Drosophila melanogaster: one gene and its partner. Changing the gene in region 1 together with any one later gene gives a genetic interaction. Each region holds a gene or a part of one and is shown in the gene's direction. Other genes may lie near its edges. The genes, in order: Nedd8 and Den1.

Region 1 (3,517 bases):
TTTTTCTCAGTGTGTTTTTTAGATTAAGCCACTGGTCTTTTGTTCTGCCAAGTTCGTTGAACTGAAAAATAGAGATTAGTTCTTCCGATACATTGTATAACATCGCCCTGAGTGCAGTGGAATCCAGGTGGCAGACGCAATATACATATTTAATTATCTCGCAGCCCGCTGACGTAGAAATGTAACTAATAATCAATTTTCAACGGATCATCCTCCACCCCTCTTAGTAATCTTTCAATCATGGGTTTGACGCGCGTGCTGGTGAAGGATGGCGGTTTCGGCACCCAGATGACCGTCCATGTGGGTGACTCTGTGGATGGGGATCCGCTATGGAGTGCCCGCTTCAATGCCACCAATCCGGCGGCCATTATCAGCACCCACCTGGACTTTTTGCAGAGTAAGCAATTGTTTTCCGGTAGCAATTGGCAACATACTAACTGAATTTTCCCCTTGACAACACCAGATGGTGCCGATATCATTTTGACCAACACCTACCAGTCCAGTGTCGATGGTTACATGGAGTACCTGGAGCTGGACGAGGAGCAGAGCATCGAGCTGATAAAGAACACGGTCCGCCTGGCCCACATCGCCAAGGAACGCTATCTCACCGAGTGCTATCAGGCGCAGCTGTCGGTGCAGGAGGGTAAGTTGACATCCATGAGGTCCAGCTCGGGCGGGATTAATTTAGATTGTGGTCAAGTGAATGATGTGGTAGGGTCATTACTTTTAATACTTTCTTTAATACTTTATTTTATATATAGTAATATTTACCAATTATATATTCCAATTTATTGTTTTTAAAGGATACCCTTTGATCATTGCCTCCATTGGACCCTTTGGGGCCCACCTGCACGATGGCTCCGAGTACACCGGTAGCTATGCCGACTTTGTGCCGGCCAAGGAGATTACGGACTGGCATCGCGTGAGGATCGAAGCGTGCTTGGAGGCTGGTGTGGATGCGCTGGCCATCGAGACGATTCCCTGTCAAATGGAGGCGGAGGCCCTGGTGGAGATGCTGTGCGATGATTATCCGGATGTGAAGTTCTGGGTGGCCTTCCAGTGCAAGGATGAGAATACCCTGGCGCATGGAGAAACCTTTGCGGACGCGGCGAATGCTATTTGGGACCTCTTGGCTGAACGAAATGCCCAGGATAAGTGCCTGGCCATCGGAGTAAATTGTGTGCATCCGAAGTTTGTGACCCCGCTCTTTAAGAGTTTGAATGGTGACCGCGAAGTGGGTGAGCAGATACCGTTGGTGGTGTACCCCAATAGCGGAGAGGTATACGACGTGGTCAACGGCTGGCAGGGAAGGGAGCACTGTGTGCCCTTGGCGAACTACGTTCCGGAGTGGGCGCAACTGGGGGCCAAGGTCATTGGGGGATGCTGTCGCACTTATGCGAGGGATATACGCCACATCGGGGAGGCCATTCGCGACTGGAACAAACTGAAGAAGCTCTCATAGGGATGAACTTCTAAGCTGGGGATCTCAGTACCTTCGAAAAGAACAAAGTAGTTATCCATTTAGTACTGTAAATAAATGTATTTAGTTATTAAGGCATACAACTTATTTTAATAAAACAGAAAAGACAAAAGACAAAAAAATACTTTTTAATTTTCTAAGATCCGAGATAAAACATTAATAAACAAATTGCTCTTAATTCAAATCCCTCAAAAGTGACGCCTTCCATTTTTTTCAAAAGTTAAAAAATGTAGTAATGGCATTCAATGGATTTTTGCATCTCATGAGTAAAATAATTTAAGGAGAATTTGAATTCTAAATATGTGAGACTTCTAACCGTAATGGGCACACTATAAATCAAGCTACAAAAAATTTACATAAATTAAGTTCTCCTTTTTCGAAATGTATTTTTTTACACGTGAATTGTGTAGAGATGGAATGATGGAGAAAATACTATATTTGTAATAGTGTGGAAAACAATCGATGGTCATCGACAGTACTATCGATAGTTGCCAGTCGTACCAACGCCGAAAGTGACAGCCAAAAAAGAGAACCAGCTGTGGAGATTTGCAAAAATTTCGGCAATTTTGAATTTGTACAGGAGCGCCTAGTTAAATACACACAAAATGTTGATCAAAGTGAAGGTTAGTGTGGAAGATATGGAGTAGCAAAAAAGTAGGATAAAGATAAATCACAGCCATCGTGCCCAGCGGGCACTTTGAACAACAACAAAATCGTCGAATATTACAGTCAATATATGTGTGGCTGGATTATTAATGTAAATATGTATTATCTTTCCATTAGACCCTGACCGGCAAGGAAATCGAGATCGACATTGAGCCCACGGACAAGGTAGATCGCATCAAGGAGCGCGTGGAGGAAAAGGAAGGCATTCCGCCCCAGCAACAGCGTCTTATTTTCTCCGGCAAGCAAATGTGAGTCTTTCTGGCTATTGGTCATTGATTTTAGCTTATTTCGCATGCGATCCCCCCCAGGAATGACGATAAAACCGCGGCGGACTACAAAGTGCAAGGTGGATCCGTTCTTCACTTGGTATTGGCTCTGCGAGGAGGTGATTCAATCCTAACACCTTGTGTGTAACTAGCGTGTTCATAAGTGGAAAACATTCATTTAAAATTCACTCAAATATATTAAGCTTGAGAAGCGTCATATGGAGAATTAATATATGTAAACTAAAAAGAAGTCTTAAAAGTGGTTTAGAAGAAAACAAAGTGTATTCGCATCGGAGGAATTTAGACAGAATGGATTGGGGCCAACCGGGTCCGTAATAAAACATGTTTTTTTGTAAGCCAACATCTAAATCATTCGAAAAAAAGAAGAACACTCCACAATGGTGGGCTAAGGTTTAAAACATATCAAAAAGGCATTTATTTTGTCTCAGTGGCAGATTGTAAGTTCAGTTCTGTTTAACAAAACGTCCGACTAGCAGGTGATTCTTTGGCGTACACTGTTCGGGCTTTAAGCGTGTGAGAATGACCTGGTAGCCCGCCTCCTCCGCCTGCAGCAGGCGATCGGTGTCCACCACGGACATGCAGTGGAGTCCTTGAAGCGTGGTTTCTGGCTTGCAGTTGGTTGTCCCCATCTCGTGTGCCTGATCTGCCGAGTGGGCAATGTACAAGTAGTCCTTTGTGTCTAACACCTTTTGGAACGCTTTGCTCAATGGGTACGAAATGTGAGGCATGGGCTGCAGAGAACCGTAGCAGCAAGGACAGCAAACAAAATGTGCCTTGGCTCTCCGGCACTGCTGCAAAACGATATCTGTCGCCGTTCCACACGCGTGCAAAGAGGCCCCGATCTTGAATCCTCCGACAAAGTAATCTATGTTGCATTGGTAAAAAACGCAGTTGGTCAAACCCAATTCGTTTGATCTTTTCTGAGCTTGAAGCAGGGAGAAAGCTTTGTTTTCCATCACAATAATGGTACAATTTGGCAGCTTGAGGGCCAGCAGTATGGCCAAATGCCCTGTGCCGCTGCAGAAGTCCACAATGCGGTCGCCCGGTTGAGCCAGGGAAACCACCGCATTGGCCAAGTTCTCTA
Region 2 (3,842 bases), on another chromosome or scaffold:
CACGGAGTTGGGTATTTTTTTACACTCTAATTATTTTGATGAAAATGAAAATAATTATTAAACAAATTGAAATGATATATAAATAAATGATAAAACATGTTTTTGCTAATCTTATTATTTGATTTTCTATTTGATTTGGGGTAGTGTTTACTAATTACATCTGCAATTTTTTTTTATTAGGTGACGTGGTGGGATCTTGGAATTGCTGGGCGCAATCCAATGTAGCCGTGATCGTCTAGTGGTTAGGACCCCACGTTGTGGGTTACCACACCCAGGTTCGAATCCTGGTCACGGCAATGTTCAAATAAACATTGTCACGGAGTTGGGTTATTTTTTATTTTTAAGCTTGGAATTGGCTATTTTGTACAAAATGTTGGTTATCGAAAACTCGTTGAGTTTTAAGTCCACAAGCACCAATGAACGAAATACTTCAAAATAATTAAAATTTGAAAATATACATTTTTCTGGCAAAGTGAATATGGATGTCACGAAAACATCAAGCGCTGAGGAAACCGAAAACACGGAAAATACTAGTCATGCTAAAAACATTAACGAAAACGTATCAAAATTTTATGAAACTATTGGAAATATTTCCCGAAATATGCGCAAGGACGATTGGACATATCTACAACGCCATCCAGAGATCCGAGCCATAATTCGGGTCATTACAGCCGAGGCGGTTAAGGCAAAGCCATCGAATATCTACCAATTTACAGCCAATTTATTTGGAAGCGAAAGAGACGAGGAGATGGTAGAAAAGGCAATAATTTTTGTTTGCATATTTACATAAATGAAAAAAAAAACGCTTAAAAGAATTGTAATTTTCTAGATAAACAAGCAACTTAAGTGGTTGGAAGAGCAGTTGCGAGGGGGTACGTGGAATCCTGACGAAGGATGTGCCCCGTTTCCAGAATCCAGCGAGACTTCTTCGGAAACTAAATGCCAAACTAATTTTAATACCACTGCGAGTTTCAACATACCCGAAAAGCAAGTTTGCCCTGAAAATTATAAGCCAGATTGCAAGAAATGTTAAAAATGTGAACTTAATAAATTCAAAAAAAAAAAATTCAGATTGCAAGAAATGTTAAAAATGTGAACTTAATAAATTCAAAAAAAAAAAAAATCAGATTGCAAGAAATGTTAAAAATGTGAACTTAATAAATTCAAAAAACTTTTTAAAAGGAATAAAAAATATTTGTAATTAAATTATACATATTTAAATTACTTTTTATAACTTTGCCACATTAGGCAACACTGCATTTCACAGTCTGCACTGCCACCTATTTAGCGAGCAGTCTGGCAGCCCAAGCCAGAAAGTAAGATATACAGTACGGCGACTTATTATTTGAGCGGAAAAGCGGAAAAACTATTCAGAGTGTTGTGTAACTTTTTATATTAGTGAAAATATCAGTTGGTAAATTCAAGTTATTTGCTCCCAAACAGCCAAATAAATGGTAATACGCGAGGAGTGTCCAAAGAACGGACAAAAAGCGAGGTCGCGACTTCGAGGAGGAGGAGTAGCCATTTTTCGTGGTGAGTAAAAAATATATATGTGGGGATCTGACCACCACCTTCACCTCCTCAGTGTCCTCTATTTTGTTTTGCTACGCCCATTCGTTGTCAAAGACAATAACAAAACAGCTTTGTACGAAGATTAGTTAATTTCGATATGTTTATTTTGGTTTAAAATACGATTATAGTGTTCTTAAAATGCGCTTGGCATGACTGATTTCTGATTGCTTTGAAACCACAACAATAACAACAGTACCGGCCGGCAAACGAAAGGGAAAGCAAAAGCAAAAGGAAACCGAAAACGTCATTCCTGCGTTGACTTTGAAACCCTGGAGTTGTATTAGTCGCCGGAAAAATTTTATTCTTTTAGCCGAATTTTCGCGAAGATTGTTAGTGAAAATGTTGCCCCACGATAGGAAAATACTTAGGTGATAGTCGCCAGCTGGAACAACACGAATCTAGTCGCAACAACATGATTTAAATCAATTTTTTGCCATTTATTTTCATTCCAGGCAACATACACGCCAGAACCAGAATACGAATCGCCGGCGCCCCAGATTCACCAACAATAGCTTCCATACCAAAATGGGCAGCAACTCCAAGGCAGACCCCATCTCGCTGACCTTCCACGACTCCTGCCTGCGGATGTCCGACGTCCAGTTGCTCCACGGCCCGCACTGGCTGAACGACCAGATCCTGAGCTTCTACTACGAATACCTGGCCCACATGAAGTACAAGACCAATGCGGATCTGCACTTCATTGCGCCGGAGATTACGCAGTGTATGAAGTACATGGGCGACCAGGAGCTGAAGCAGCTTCTCGACCAGAGCAACACCACTGGCAAGCCCTTTATCTTCTTCGCGCTGAACGACAACGAAACCACCGATGCTGGTGGCAGCCACTGGTCACTGTTGGTCTTCTCGCGTCCGGAGAAGACCTTCTATCACTTCGATTCGTATGGGAACAACAACACGGGCAACTCCCTGGAGCTGATGAACAAGATCAAGGACCTGCTTGGCGTCCGAATGGCCAAATTCCGGCCCATGCGCTGCCTACAGCAGGCGAACGGCTACGACTGTGGCATCCATGTTATCTGCATGACCGACCACATTGCCGATTACCTAAACAGATACGAGGTGATCGACGGACTGCCGTCGCTGCACATCGACACCGTGAAGGCGAAGCGCACCGAGCTACTGAAACTCATCCTGTCGCTGGGCGGCAAGGGCTAGAGGCTAGCGAGGATTGCCCTGCCGAACCGCCCACAGCCGAGTAGTTTTTAAGTGACCAAATTACGAATGTAACTCGTTGCCGAAGAATGAGAGGAGCATCGGAATTACATATGTGAATACGATATCCATGATATCGCTAGTTGTAGTGGGTTTAGTTTTCCTTGCCGAATGAAAATGTTTAAAAAACAAAAGCAAACTAAAAGCAATTGAGGCGGTGAGTCGGCATATTTTTAAGGTTGGTCTTTCAAAATAAAGATTTGTTTAGCCACAAAACGCGTTGGCTTCGAATTCAGAATTCTGACTTCTCTGCTTGTTTGGTCAATGGGCGCCTGTCGCCAATTAATGAAAACAAAGATATCAGTTGGTTGCAATTATTTATTATAAATGCAAAACGGGAACGGATCCGCGCGGATCTATGATTAGATTACATTTAAAAACACATACAAAATAGATAAATCCACATCGAAAATTGATATTACAATGAGGCACTGGAGTACACAAGGAATACCTTTCATCGCCAGGCGAATGCTCGGGTGGGTAGGGGTAGTTAGTAATGGGTGGGGGGAGACCAGGACGTTAACCTGACCACTACTATCTAAAAGCTAGCTAAGCTGCATACTTGCACGTTTGAGACTGCTCCTAGAGCCGAACTTCGGGCTTGGCCCAACCGCCAAAGGCTCGCTCCAATTCCTCGGCAACGGCCAAACAAAGTCGATCCTGATTGAAGTTGGCGATGATTTGGACACCCAGTGGCAGACCCTCGCTGCCCAGCTTGCCCAGCGGCACAGCGGTGGCCGGGAAGCCCAGCACATTGACAATACCAGTGTAGGCAAAGTTAATGGGTCGCGTAATGGGCTCATTGTGGTATGGAGCCACCGTGGGATGCGTGGGATAGATCAGCACACCATTATCGCCCAGCAGGCTTTGCAACTCCTCCCTCAGCTCATTTCGTTTGCGCACCAGATGATCGTACTTGGGAGATCCGTGCTTGCACTGTGCACTATCCATGATAGCTGTCGACAGGCCAATGAATGTGTGCTTGGAAGCGCCGAAGAACCACTTGAAGAGCTCCAGGTACGTGTTGATGTCATGATTCA

What was found.
Region 2: of Nedd8 (region 1) and Den1, changing one suppresses a phenotype caused by changing the other (phenotypic suppression), as found in Drosophila melanogaster (one study listed by BioGRID).

What each region holds. Positions count from the first base shown.
Region 1 is NT_033779.5:18,950,284-18,953,800, reverse strand, and holds Nedd8 (Nedd8 ubiquitin like modifier), read left to right. Parts: upstream 1-1,963; 5' UTR 1,964-2,085; coding exon 2,086-2,103; intron 2,104-2,263; coding exon 2,264-2,394; intron 2,395-2,454; coding exon 2,455-2,560; 3' UTR 2,561-2,795; downstream 2,796-3,517. Other genes in the region: CG10621 (uncharacterized protein), read left to right, coding at 241-397, 464-643, 804-1,462; CG10428 (uncharacterized protein), read right to left, coding at 2,877-3,517. UniProt on the Drosophila melanogaster protein: Ubiquitin-like protein which plays an important role in cell cycle control, embryogenesis and neurogenesis. Covalent attachment to its substrates requires prior activation by the E1 complex Uba3-Ula1 and linkage to the E2 enzyme UbcE2M.
Region 2 is NT_033778.4:12,336,509-12,340,350, forward strand, and holds Den1 (deneddylase 1), read left to right. Parts: upstream 1-1,791; 5' UTR 1,792-1,911; coding exon 1,912-1,940; intron 1,941-2,024; coding exon 2,025-2,745; 3' UTR 2,746-3,036; downstream 3,037-3,842. Other genes in the region: CG34021 (uncharacterized protein), read left to right, coding at 479-760, 830-1,033; CG8839 (uncharacterized protein), read right to left, coding at 3,385-3,842.